Arabidopsis thaliana: one gene and its partners. The protein of the gene in region 1 interacts with the protein of each later gene in a pairwise test. Each region holds a gene or a part of one and is shown on either strand. Other genes may lie near its edges. The genes, in order: AT1G21280, AT4G19050 and UPL6.

Region 1 (3,164 bases):
TAGTTTTGGGGTCGTCCTAATGGAACTGCTCTCAGGTCAAAAGGCATTGTGTTTCGAAAGACCACATTGCCCAAAAAATCTTGTGAGTTGTTTTGCTTCTGCCACAAAGAATAATAGGTTCCATGAAATTATTGATGGGCAAGTGATGAATGAGGATAACCAGAGAGAGATCCAGGAAGCTGCAAGAATTGCTGCAGAGTGTACAAGGCTAATGGGAGAGGAAAGGCCAAGGATGAAAGAAGTAGCTGCAGAGTTAGAGGCCTTGAGAGTTAAAACAACTAAATATAAGTGGTCGGATCAGTATCGTGAGACAGGGGAGATTGAACACTTGCTCGGCGTTCAAATCTTGTCAGCACAAGGCGAAACCAGTAGCAGCATTGGCTATGACAGCATCAGAAATGTAACAACATTGGACATTGAAGCTGGCCGTTGATATTAATGCTCTGACAAAATCACATGTATATCTTTTGTTTGTAAAAAAAGAAAGTCATTTCCTTGTTGCTTCATCAATAATGCTTTGACAGATTTGTTTGTACATCATCAATAATCATGTTCATATTTTCCTTTACTTGGTATACTAACCAGTAACCGATCTGGTTATTGGCAAATTTAAAACTCTTGTGTTAAATTTTAGTTCATAAAAATCTAATTCCATATGAGATTGATAATATACAGATATAGCTTCAAACACATCTCAATAAGAAACACTAGAATCCCAAAAAAAAACATAGGCAAAGAAGAGAAAAGTTATGATCATAAACCTGCTTCCTAAATTCTTCATCTACTGTACCACTTCATCATCGATTCTGCATCTTTGACCATAGCGAAAGCTTCGTGAAGTGACGGAGGAGGTTTCTGGAACATGATTTTTGTCGTCACAGCCTCGAAGCCTTGGTTCAACTTCAACCCCATCAAAAACTCGTAACGCTGCTCCTTCTCTCTCGCCTCTTCAGCTCGTTTAGTACACTCGCAATTGCAACCACCGCATTTACACTCCGGTATAGGAGCATACTCCGACAACTCCATCCAAACTTTACTCAATTTCCCAAAATACTCCTCAACAGAGTCACCACCTTGCCTGAGCGTCGCGAGTCTCCGACGAAGCTGATAAATCTTCAAATCAACACAAGGAACGAATACACGTCTGAGATCTTCCCACATTTTATGAGCAGTCTCCGCGTACATAACAGATTCTAGAAGCTTATCGGTCATCGAATTCATCAGCCAATACATAACCATTGCGTTGCATTGTTCCCATGGCTGATAGAGCGGAGAGAAAGGGTCTGGCTTCGGGAGAGTACCGTCGATAAACCCGAATTTTTTCGTGACTCGGAGGAAAGAGCGAAATCGAATTTTCCAGGCGACGTAGTTGTCTTCGTCTTTGCTGAGTTTTTGGATAGAGAAATCGGAGGGATGATGAATATCGGGAGGGAGATAATACGGTGAATCGGGGTCTGATGTTGGAGATACGCTCTTGATAGTTTCCGCCATTGTCGTCGCTGCTCTGAGAGTCTCTCTCTGCTTCCAAATCCTAGGGCTTGCTTTGTATCCCTTTCGATTTTGACTTTTTTAGTCTCAAATAAAGAAATAATTTTCCAAAATAAGAAAAGTCGCAATTTTTTGTAAACAGTTGGGCTTAATGGGCCTTGTATTTCCCCTCCCTAGCCCAAAGTTTCAGGGATTACCTTACCCATTAAAGGACCCCGCGCATCATTGGGATATGATCTTGTTGGTCATTAATCAAAGCGTTGAACCTGGTGTCTTCACATGACCTGTATCTTGGTTTTGGAGGACAAGAAACATCAAAAACACGTAATCAGTTTACCAAAGCTCCTTATTACCGTGTAACCAAGGGACTTTGCATCTATGGTTCCATCTATTATGGTGCTTGGGCCCCTAGACTAAGAATGGATCCGGTGAATGGTGATTGTGTGTTTTCATGTTAGATATGAGAGGCTAAGTTTTATCAAAGTGCCTAGGGATGTTTTGGTTCGGGAGTGTGAATCAATATTGATAGAATACAAAGGGAAGTTAGCTTCCATTGCTAGAAACCCTTTAAGCTTCTCTAGTTTTGATTTGTGGATACTAGAGAATGTCAAGAAACATGTTGGTCCAAGCAAACATTTGAGCTTCCTTTCCCTTTGGTCAATATGACTTCTCCTGGCACCAACAAGGCTGGTGAAATCATTTTTGCCCCAAAATCTCTCCCACCCATTCTTCAACCCTTCTTCATTTTCTAGTACAATGTAGGAAAAAAGACATCAGAAGAGTTAGGCTCCATGGAATTGCAGACGAGAAAGAGTTTTGTCGCCGATGTGGACTCAATGACTCATACACGATATCTGCGTCTCTATCTCACCCGAACATGTTGAAACTATTGCCTCTTTGTAATGTGTTTTTCTTTAAGGACCTTAATGTAGGAGAAAGTGGGGACAAGTCAACGGAACCAAGTCAAGAGAACATCTCAAGAATGGAGTGTGTTTTCTTATATTTAAGAAGCAGATGCTTTGGAGAGATGAGAGAAACCAATTTAGAGAGAAAAAGAGAAGGAGAATATGAAGTTTGCGATTGAGGGTACAGGAAAGGCCAAGGATGAACGAAGTAGCTGCAGAGTTAGAGACCTTGAAAGTCAAAACAATTAAAACATAATCAGTATCCTGAGACAAGGGAGATTGAACACTTGCTCGGTGTTCGAATATTATCAACACAGGGAGATACCAGTAGCCGTAGTTATGACAGCATCAAGAATATTGGACATCGGAGCTCTGACAAATTCACACATGTCTTTTGTTTGTAAAACATGAATCCTACTTCTTTGTAATTGCCTCATCAAATTATGTATTGAGAGAATATTTTGTGCATCATCTATAGTTGTTATACTAACCAGTAGTCAAATAACCAAATTTAGAGCTCTTATGCAAAATTTCAGTTGACGAATCTAATTCCATATGACATTGATAATGTACCAATATGGATTCAAAAAACACGAAAACACTTCAAAAAGAAACACTATAAAAGCATAAAAAGTTAAAATCACGGACCTGCAAATTCCTAAATTCTTCCTCCCATTTTCCACTTCATCATCGCTTCTGAATACACAACCATCTCATAAGCTTGGTAAACAGACGGAGGAATCTTCTTGTGCATGACTTTCATTTTCACAT
Region 2 (6,556 bases), on another chromosome or scaffold:
GAACATAAACAATGCAAATTCATAGAATCAGATAAGCAAATTCTACATTAACTTGAACAAGATTTTGACAAGAATCATTCAGGACACATTGACAATGGTAGTAAGTTAACATTGGTTCCATCAAGTTCTGAATAATAGAAAAATTGAACAATCAAATCTTCATTCACAACCATTACTCAGCAAATCCACAAAAATCAACATATTGAAATATTAATACCCAATCAGGAATAACTATTCGAAAGATCTGAGATAACAAACAATCTCGAAATCTCTAGAAAAAATACTCTCTTTTTTCGGACAAATTACGGAGAGGAATCAGTAATTCACCTTCCAAGCCCGAATAGACTCATTGCTTTATCGGAGTGAGACACGAACTCGAAGGTGACTCTTTTATATTGCAATGTTTTCTTCGATTCTGATCTCTCTCTGCGTAAATTTCACGATCGCAGACCAAAACTTGAAGACGACTAAAAATAAAATAACATTCATTTATTCTTTATTTTAAGAGTTCACACAACACAACACAAAGTAACCATTTTGAAAAGTTTCGAATTACAAGCTCTGTCAAAGTTCAAGACTTGGATAATTATTAACGGTGAGATAATATAAGATCAGCGGAAATTTTGTTTCTTCATCCTCGTCGTGTGAAGAAGAACAGAGAGATTAAACTGTGTCTGTAGCTTTTGTGGGCTGGGTAGGAGTTTGGGTTTCAGGCCCAATAGTATTCCTGCACATGAAGAAGAACAGAACAGAGAGTGTGAAAACAAAATAAAGTTTCGATTTGTTTAGTTGTTAACTTCACTTACTTGTGAGGTTGATCCTCTGAAATTTCATCTGTAATCCTTGCTCCAATCCTCGGTTCATCTTCTCTAGCTTTCAATTTCGGACATTTCTCAATTGTGCATTTCTCCAGATTCGGGAAATTAGCTCCAAGTACTGATAAAACAGGCAAATCAAGAAGGTGAAGCTTACGAAGCTTCGATAATTCTCCTGCTTTTACTTCAAACAATCTCTCCAACTTATCACAGAACTTCACACGAAGAATCTCAAGGTTATCAGGAATCTCCGGGAATAGCCATTTGATGCTTGGACAACAATCTACGCTTAGCTTCTTAAGGTTCTTGAAAATGAATCCTCCTTTACTACTGTATAAGCTTGTTAGCAATGGAAGATTTGAGATCCAAAGAGTCTGCAATGATGGTGATGATGATTTCTCTTTCTCTAGTTGTTCATCTGATTCGAAGAGAACATCCATGTTCTTGCACCTCTCTACCCAACAACCTTTTACCGATGCCATCTGCAACTCGTCGAAGAGAGAAGATACGCTTTTGGATCCATTCTCTGCTATAGAGACATACTCTGCTTTGGCTATATACTCTGTTTTAAGATCAGTGGATCTTTTGATGTCAACAATATCGATATTCAAAGGAACTTCAGGATCAATAACTCTGTATCTATTGCCGTGATAAAGAAGTTTCTCGCGGGTTTTTTCCCCTACATTAGAGAAGCTAGAGCCCTCTGACTTACTTGTTAAACACTCTTTTATTTGGCTCCACTGGTCTCGCTCTATACAACTCGAATCCGCGAGAACAATACGTTTTGAAGAACAGAGGATGCTCTGTTTTGGCAACTCAGGAAACGTTTTCAGATTAGTCCCAGAGAGATTAACCTCGCAAAGGTAAGACATACTCTCGAATGATTCCTCGATTTTATCCAGATTGGTGCATCCCGAAACATCGAAGATCACTAGATGTGTTAGCTTCTCAAGATTTGGAAGAGCCTTTAGCTTAGAACAGTTTCTTAGGATGAGCTCTTTGAGGTTAGATAGCTCTGAGATTTTGTTAGGTAACTCACCAAGATTAGTTTCCGAAAGATTCACTTTGTGGAGGCAAGACAGATTCTCGAATGATCCCTCGATTGTTTCCAACTCGGTGCAGCCCGAAACATCGAAGATCTCAAGATTTGTTAGCTTCTCAAGGTTTGGAAGAGTCTTTAGCTTGGAACATTTTCTTATGATGAGCTCCTTAAGGTTAGATAGCTCTGAGATTTTGTCAGGTAACTCACTAAGATTAGTTTCTGAAAGATTCACTTCATGGAGGTAAGACATCTCCCCAAAGGATCCATTGATATTCTTCAACTTAATGCAACCAGAAACGTCGAAAACTTCAAGGTGTGTCAGTTTCTCAATGCTTGGAAGCTCTTCAATCAGTGAGCAATTCCTTAACAGAAGCTTATTGAGATTGACAACATCAGCAATCGTGTCGGCTAACTCGGGAAGACTTGTCTTTGACATATCGAGGATCCTAAGCTCTTTCTTCTCCTCTAAACACACTTCAAGCATCTCCACTAAGTCTGTAGCACCACATGCATCAAGAATCTGAAGATTAGTCAAAGGCCTAAGCTGTGGCAATCTCTTAAGCCTTGTACAGTTTCTCAGCAAGAGCCGGGTCAAGATTGGCATAGTACTGAAATCGTTAGTAGAGTCTTTGAGATGAAATATCGGCAGACGGATGATTTTAGTCTCTGAGAAGTCTAGGTGTTCAAGCAGCTGAAGCTGAGCAAAGTTCTTGTTCTTGCCTTTATAGTCCTTCCAATCTTTAACTCTATCAAAGTAAGACTCAAGTTTCCTAGCTCCGTGAATGTCAATAACTTCAAGTTTTCTTGTTTCCACAATGAAGTTAGGCAGATCTTGTAGCTCAGAGCAGTGCCTTAGGATGAAGCAACGAAGCATGCTTAGCTTTTCGATTGTGGAAGGCGAAGATTTGATTGCAAGTCCCGAAAGATTAAGGCTTTGAAGCTGAGTCATGTTCTTGAAGAAATCATCAGGGATGTTAACTAGAGAGCTAGCACCAGAGACTTCAAGAACATGTAGGCCTTGAAGACCACTGAGCTTATCGATGTTATCGATTAGATCACAGTCTCTGATAACAAGTACTCGGAGTTTCTTTAGCTTAGATAAAGACAGAACAAGTTCATGGAACGTTGGCTCAAAGAGGACTACAACTTCAAGATCTTGCATCTCTGGTTTCTCAAAGAACTTCCCATGAACCTCTCTACGTAAACGGTTTCCGCTAGCGATAATCGTCGTGATATTCTTCTTCTTCGATTGAATTGTCTGTATCATATCATCGATCAAGATGATTTTCCCTAGCCCCTTTCTCTTGTCTCCACCGTAAACTCTGTCAAATCCAAGAGAAGATCTTCCAAAGAATCCACAATCTTGAAGATCTAATAGGTTGCTCATGGAGAACTCTGGAACCACCATGTTGTCTTCTTGTATTTTCAAGATTCCTCTGTTCATAAAGTCCATTAAAATGGAATGTCCTTCTTGGTAAGCTTTGTCAACTGACTTAACCGGATCAAAATACCCTTCAAGCATCCAATGCACTATTAGGTCACGGTAGTAAGCGCATCCAGAGTACTTGTAGAAGTCCAAGATATGCCAAAAGCAAGCAATCACCGGACGTTTGACCGTCTCGTCAGGCTTTAACAGCTCGTAGCTTAATTGCAAGACAGGATTGTAGCGGCTGCGATCTATAGCGTTCTTGGAAGCAGCTGCTTCATCTAATGACTTGGAAGATAGAATCAGTTCTTTAAAGATCTTCCTCTGCTTCGCAGACATCGACTTAATGCTGTTTAAAGACTTGATTAAGACAACGATCGCAGCTGGTAAGCCCTTGCTCTTGCTTAAAATGCAAGACATCAAAGTAGGTTCTTTGATCTCTTTGTTATCGCAAAGTCTCTTTAGCAGAACAGGCCAATCTTCAGAGGTAAATGATGTAAGTAAGTCCTCGGCATCGTGGAGTAAGTCCAATGACTCCTTTTCTGTAAGCGGACCGACTTTGATCGTTGTGGATTCTTTCTCCTCTCTTTCATCTCTTCTTGTGACTAGAATCTTCACAGCCGAGTACTCCTTAAGAAAATCTTGGAGGTTTAATTCTTGCATCACATCTTCTTCAGTTGTCATACTTCCTTCATCATCCAAAATCAACAGAAGATTATCCTTCTTGTGTTTGATCATCTCTTCTTTAATCTTCTCTTTCAAGCTCTCCAATGGATAATCAAGCTCATCAGGTTCTTCGCCTTCTTCAAACTCGTAAATTATCGACAACTGAGCAGCTAGAATCTCGTAAAGCGACTTCTCGTCTTCAATCTTTTTGTTCAGGTGTAACCAGAGGACATTGTACTTTTCTTGAGTAACACGTTGGCTGACTTCTTTTGCAAGCCATGTCTTCCCTATACCAGCTTCACCAACGAGGACGGTTTTTGAAGGTACACCGTCTTGTCCCAATGAATCCATTATCTTCTTCAGAATCTCTTCTCTGCTTGTTTGATCTTGCTTCTCCATCTCTAGGAAAATAAAAAATGAGAGAGGAAATATTTAAACCTTTGATTTGAGTTTTCTTGAAGAGATCATTGTTAAACAAAATTATTGAGATTGCTACTAGGATAGTAACTTTATTTTTATGAACTTAAGAGATGTATTCAGAGAGTATACCACACTACCCCTATATATCCATGCAATATATGACAAATATCAACTAACAATACAAAACTAAAATTTAAAATTCGAAACAAAGAGAGAGGTATGAGAAGAACCTTAATTGTTTAGAGTGACTTAATCAGATTAGTTTTCTCCACTGATAGTTTTTTCTTTCTAGTTTTTGTTTATGTTTTGTTTTGTTATCCTTCGTTGATTGATTCACTTATTTATACAAGTCCAGCTCCGATAACTTCCATGTCAAGCCTATCCTGATTTTGTAAAACAACAATAACAAAATTCAAGTTTTAGATTACACTCTGTCGAAACAAAAACGCCAAGTATAAATATTAGATTCTTCCAATAATTATTCACCCTTATTATTTCAGAATTCAGAGTAACAATTATGCCCCTATATTTTTCGAATATATGACTTTTGGAATTGTTTACTACACAAGCAAAAACTTTTCTTTCCTTATTACATACAAAGGAAAAAGTTACATGCTAATCACATGTATTGCTCTAGTTTTTTTGTCTTTTGATGATCCTTTGTTCTACTTATGTTTGGTGATATGTGATACAGGTTTTACAAAAGTGAGGGTACAGATGTTTAACTTAACATATTTCTAGGGAGAATCTGCCACTTCTCTTAAGCTGAAAGGAAATTAATATTCTAATACTGTTTCATTACTTCTTTCAAAATTGAAGTACTTTGAAAGATCAGTATTCTTTAAGAGGAATTTTCACACGTGATAGTAAAAAAATACCATTATCATTTTTCCAAATTTCCAAAATAACTAGTAGTTTTAGATATGTATAAGTAAAGTGTCTAAAAGCTTAGAAATGAAAATTATCCAAGAGGTCCTCTGTCAAATCGGTAGTTCAAGCAGCACTTCCGCAATACGCTATGTCGTGGTTTTTAATCCACAAATCATCATCAACAAGCTACGAGGATCAATCTCAAGAAAATCGTGAAACTCTAAGATGATAAAAATATGTATTAAAATCTCTTTTTAATCTTTATTAACTGCCATAGGTTTACACTCACACAAGTGACAACTCTTAACAGTTTCTAGAACAATAAAATAACTTTATATAGTAATCTTGAATAGCTTCCTTATATCAGAGAGTAAATAGTAAATACATAGATATTGCGTTAGAAGTTAGAAGCTCTGCTTCCTATCTATGTTTCCAATTTCATCCACTTTCACAGGCTCAATCTTCGCCAGCATTCGAGCAGCCAAAGGAATACCACAAGACTTATCCATAAGCTCTTGTTTGTATCTTCCCGGATACCTCGGATTCACTTTCGGGGCTACTGCATCGCCCGCATTTGTGGCTACTGCATCGCCCAAATTCGTGGCTGCTGCATCGTCCACCTTGGTGGGTACTGCATCAATGTAAATCTCCCACAAGCTCTCTGCATCGGATCTTGGAAACAAACGCTGCAGATTCTCTTCTTCTCCGACTATCGCCTTCGCCAATCTCTCGTCTCTGCTAGTCATAATCACTTTCCCACCAAACCCTTTAGGAAACCCACAAGAAAGATGTGATTTTTCCTGTTGCTTCTTCTCATCATCGAGCCTTTGATCCCACTCGTTGTCTTCCCAAACATCATCCAACACTATCAGATACTTCTTCCCAATCAGATTCAAGTGAAGAGCATACAATAATCGAGCAAGCTCCTTTTCTTTGACCGTCTCTTCCTCTCTTTCCCCAGCTTCATCTTTGATACTCTTCTCTTCTTCTGCTTCTGTTTTGATGTGTTTAAACATCTCATCTTCAACTCCAAGGGATCTCAAGATCCTCTTCACAACATCTATCTTGGGATCTTCGTCTTCTTTTGTTTCTTTGCTGTACATAGAAACCCATATCCTCGGGAAATAAACTTGCTTAACATCTTCGTCGTTGAACACAGCCTGACACAATGTCGTTTTCCCAACTCCGTATTTCCCCACAATTGCTAGAGTCTTGAACTCTTCGGATTCCTTTTGCTTCAGCAAGAAGTTCTTCAAGAACAGTTTCTCGTTAATGAAACCACGAATGAGGTGATCCGGAAGCTCAGAGCTTGTCTCC
Region 3 (4,703 bases), on another chromosome or scaffold:
GAGCACAAGGTACCTATTCACAAATCTACTATACATGAACACCGCAAAGTGAAATTCACTGTCGAGAAAAGGAAAAAATTAAGTAAACATGCACTAAGATACCAACCACAGTAGCTAACACAAACACACCCAAATACAATAAATCGACTACATAAGGAACCTACCATGTCCAATGAACATTCAGGCTGTGACAACACCACGTTTGCAGTGTCCAACGTGTTACCAAGTAGGCAAGCATAACCAGGGAATTCTGGGCTTGTTTCCATTGGGAGAACACAGGTATCCTTTTGAATACAGGAAGCCATCTGGTGAATGTAGTGTTGACTTAGACTCGGGTTGGCAAATACCTGGACAATGAAACTATGAGTTTACCAAAGTTTAAATAGATGCTCACAGTTGAGATAATATTTAGCTCAGGGTCAAACACAAAATTGTAAGAAACCAAAAGCTATCATTTAGCCTCAACGATTTTACATATATTTTGATTAGCGTATATCCGTAACTAAAAAATATGAGTTCAGGAACCAACCACTTTCAAGTTTGGGAAGAGCTTCCATATCAAAGGTATTGTAAGAATCATAGATGAGAAACTCCAACGTGGATCAACAACAGTGCAGCAACATGGCTCACGGCCAATATGTGGTACTATCAGTATCAATACTCTTTCTAGTGAAAGGATGTTGCCGGTCATAGTCTTACCTCTTGGGCTTTCCTGCAACAAACCACAATTGCTTCAAAAGTTTAGATTGCCAACTAGGTGGTGGGGCATAATCATGGGGAACTGCTGAAAATACCTTAGCCGTAGTGACCATTTCTCGGACCAGTTTGAATACTTTTCTTTTTTGTAGATAACTAACTATTTTGCAGACCCAAGGCAGCTTAGGATCTAGCAACAACGAAACTGCCTCCATCAAGATAGCTGTTGAAATGCTAGCTTCTTCAGGAGTAACTAAGAGCTGATCCCTTAAACGGTTCCTGATGATTCAAATCAGAAAGAGGCAAAACTGAATATTTTAATAACAGAACTGAAAAAGCCAAGATAGCAATAGTTGGTCACATTTTGAAAGAAGAAGGGCTATTGCTTGGATATGCTCTACAAAATGAGAGATGACAAAAATATATATATTACCTATTCTGGTGTATCGCCTCGATACAGGTAAATGCAAGTTTCTTTACTCTAAAATCCACCAAATTATGCTCAGAAGAATAGTCCAAGCCAGAAAAAAGGCTGACAATGTCACCTGTCATATGATGAGAACTGTAATACATCAGTAAGCAAGATCCCAGTCATCTTCGAAAAGAAACTAGAGAAAAAATTGTCTGTGAAGCAAAAATAATATTAAGGCAGTCTATATGTGTGAGGATGTAAACAGCAAACAGGAGACTTTAATTTGTGGTGCAAGGGATATGACTCACACAATGTTTTAAGTTTGTTGCTCGTAAGATAAACATAATAAATAAGAGTATGAACGCCATAAAAAGACTGATTAAGCAAAATGAAGACTTGGAACATGCTTCCCCTTACATAAGAGTTACCAAGAAAGGAAAAGCACGTTGATCAAACCCATGAATGAATTGAACAAAAGTGTCAACAAAAGAAGCAGGCATAGATATTGGAAATACCACTGCTGTCAACGAAACTCTGCAGTAGACGACAAGTCTCCACAAGTATCACAAAATCTCCCGAGTTTTGTGCCTTGAAAAAAAACAGAAACTGCCGGAGGAAACTTGAACCTGGCTCAAAGCAATGTCTGGATGTAGGCAAAAAAATATACAACTAATTAACCATAGAACCATTTAAAGACCAAAAAAAAACTATAGCAAACATAATAGACCAAAGAAAAAGTACCTATCAACATTCTGGCAATTATTCCCATAGGTTTCACAGAAATCATGCCGCACCTTCGAGCGCTCAATGGCCATTGATCTTCGACCTCTAAAGAATTTCTGTAGCCAAAAACTAGTCAGCACCATGCCCATCAGGAGCATAAATGATTGAAAAACTTTTTCCCTTTACCCACAACAAATGCACTTGTCCACATAATAGAAGAAAAAAAGAAACACTTTGAAGTGTTGCATTTGCAGCTCAAGCTCACATTTTGTAATCGCAATAGTTCAATCTTAAAAACTACTACTCAAAACAAAAATCCACAAGACCTGTACCGCAGGACACCGTAACAGGATAAATTTGTTCCAGAGGCTAAATCTAACGAGGACAATGGAGATTTAGAATAACATCTACAAAGGAAAATGTCGGTTCAATTTCCAACTAAACCTCAAAACTATAAAAAGTAAACATTATTTAGCTCAAAAGTTCTACATATCTTGCAAAATGACTCACTGTGTTCGTTCTACATTGCTCAGAAAACACAAATAAAATCCCAGAGTCCCAAAAGAAAAGGCTTTTCAATCGCAAACCTGAATTTTGAGAGCAGCAGAGTTCTGCTGCTTCTGTAGTAACCGACGATTACGCTCCATTCTAGTCTGCTCGAGAAGCTTCCGAGCATCTCTCTCCTTGGTGCTCCGGCCACCTAAATCAACTCGCTTCCGAGTCGAAGGATCGCCGGAGAAAAACATGTTCTTGAGCTAAAACTAGAATACCAATACACGATTCACTCCCCGAAAACCTAAGATTACTGTATTATTAGAGCCAAAAGGAGCTAGGGATGTGATCGGCGTATGCCCTAGAACTGGAGATAACAGAGCAAGGAGATAGATTCTTTCAAAGGTGAAAAATGATAACGAATTTGGATGATATGTGTGCAAAGGGGCAAAAACAAAATCAAACAGAAGCAAAAATTTCTGAGGAGCAAGGCAAGGCAAGGAACCAAAGCAATTAAGAAAGATAGTTTTCGGAAGCCGACTCTCAACAACGAAGACGGAAACTTCGTGAGTGGTGAATTCAATACGACGTCGTTTTCGAGTCTTTTTGAGGAAGACGAATAATTGGGTCGTCTCGTGTTACACGGGAAAAAAATTGTGTCTATTGGTTGGTTGGTTGATTTTATTTTTTGTAACATCACTGGTGTTATGGTTTCTCATCTTTATGGTGATTTTCAATATCATGTACGAATTGTTTAATTCGAGTTGTATAATAGACACCAAAATAATAGAATTGAATTGCAAATTTCCCATACAAAATGTGGTCCTACTTTTTGATTCATAGTTACCTTACCAACTACAAGAAGTTTCTTTCGGCCTTTTAGCCCAAATTCAGTGATATTCCTAGAAGCCCAATTCAGTTATATTACTAGAAGCCCAATTCATCATGCTCATCGACACATGAGCGGAAAATGTCAAGACGGTTATCTCCAAGGCTTAGCGAGTAAGCAAACTTCTTGTAGTCAGCCCATGTGAACGTCCGGTAAAGCCGTGGCTGTTCTGCCGCCGGGATGATTCCCGGAATAGGGCCTATCTTTGCATGGACGGATGGACCGGCAAAGTACGCCATCGATAGCCTGCTTGCATGTCCGGTAGTCACCGCTCTGTGTCGTACGCTTAAGAATCTCCCATTCGTCATCACCTAGAAATTTTGCATCGATTAATATTTTAGTTATAATAGTTGTGGAAATTTATAGAATCTTAGTAGATTCTTACATGTTGATATGTATTATTAAATAGTTAGATTCCTGCATTTTAAGTTTTTCAAGTAGCACCTGAAAACCTTTTTTTTTTTTTAAAGTAACATATACAGAATCAAATGGGTAATGAATATAGGGACTGACCTGCAAAAGATCGCCAACGTTTACGCAAAAGGTTGAAGGGTCAGGGGAGACAGAGACCCACCTTCCGTCAGGGAATGCCACCTGGAGGCCCCCTACTCTATTGGATCTAAGGACTGTCAAGATCTGAGGGTCTGTGTGTTCCCCGAAGCCAACTCTCGGTAATGACACAGACATATCAGAAACCTTGGCTCCACTAAGGAATTGATTGGATGATGGGTAGTGATTAAGCCTGAGAACTGAGTCGCTATCAACGGCTCTGATTAACTTGCTGAAGGTATGAGGTGGGAGCCGTAGTCCTTCAGCCGTGAGGTCTAAGATCTCACACGCCAACTGCTTAATTGCTTCTACGTAACACGTCACCGCAGAGCTGTCAAACAGACATATCATACATCATCACGAGTTGCTCATTATAAGAAATACATATATTATAAGATAAGAGAAAACATAGAAACATTAAGCTATATATATATACACTTTTAGGATGAAACTAAACACGTCAGAGAGATAAGTGAAATTTCGAAAGCATAACAGTTTCAGGGGGGGGAAAAAAAAGGAAAAAAGGATTTTTTTTATTGTTGATATAAGTTAGCGTTATACACACTGCACACACAACATGCATTGCGTAAGTTAAAAAAAAAGTTACCCATTCCCTGTCGAGTAGACAGACTGATCGAGAAGCTGTACTTTTGAAATTCAAGTTGCTGACTCGAATTTAATGTTTCATAATATGTAAGAAAGAAACCAATTCATAAATTTCATTTGATTAAAAAAATATTATAAGTTTGGCTGAAAACAGAATTCCAATTCACTTGTAATTAGTCAACTATATATTTTTTATTATGGGTTAATTATTAGCTTTTCTTTTCCACTATAGTCAATAGAACACTCTGAAATCATCTTGTGGGTTTTTATGTTCTAGACACACTTTTAACATGTACATTCAAACGCGAAAAACAAAATCAAACTCATATACTAGTA

Evidence for each region.
Region 2: the proteins of AT1G21280 (region 1) and AT4G19050 interact in a two-hybrid assay, tested with the Arabidopsis thaliana proteins (one large-scale study listed by BioGRID).
Region 3: the proteins of AT1G21280 (region 1) and UPL6 interact in a two-hybrid assay, tested with the Arabidopsis thaliana proteins (one large-scale study listed by BioGRID).

What each region holds. Positions count from the first base shown.
Region 1 is NC_003070.9:7,446,913-7,450,076, forward strand, and holds AT1G21280 (Copia-like polyprotein/retrotransposon), read right to left. Parts: upstream 1,572-3,164; 5' UTR 1,492-1,571; coding exon 778-1,491; 3' UTR 578-777; downstream 1-577. Other genes in the region: WAK2 (wall-associated kinase 2), read left to right, coding at 1-433.
Region 2 is NC_003075.7:10,439,439-10,445,994, forward strand, and holds AT4G19050 (NB-ARC domain-containing disease resistance protein), read right to left. Parts: upstream 4,684-6,556; 5' UTR 4,600-4,683; intron 4,351-4,599; 5' UTR 4,349-4,350; coding exon 807-4,348; intron 728-806; coding exon 664-727; 3' UTR 546-663; downstream 1-545. Other genes in the region: AT4G19045 (Mob1/phocein family protein), read right to left, coding at 328-350; AT4G19060 (P-loop containing nucleoside triphosphate hydrolases superfamily protein), read right to left, coding at 5,644-6,556. UniProt on the Arabidopsis thaliana protein: Potential disease resistance protein.
Region 3 is NC_003074.8:5,871,402-5,876,104, reverse strand, and holds the start of UPL6 (ubiquitin protein ligase 6), read right to left. Parts: upstream 3,055-4,703; 5' UTR 2,578-3,054; coding exon 2,419-2,577; intron 1,948-2,418; coding exon 1,850-1,947; intron 1,752-1,849; coding exon 1,624-1,751; intron 1,242-1,623; coding exon 1,130-1,241; intron 976-1,129; coding exon 795-975; intron 713-794; coding exon 530-712; intron 348-529; coding exon 165-347; intron 1-164. UniProt on the Arabidopsis thaliana protein: Probable E3 ubiquitin-protein ligase which mediates ubiquitination and subsequent proteasomal degradation of target proteins.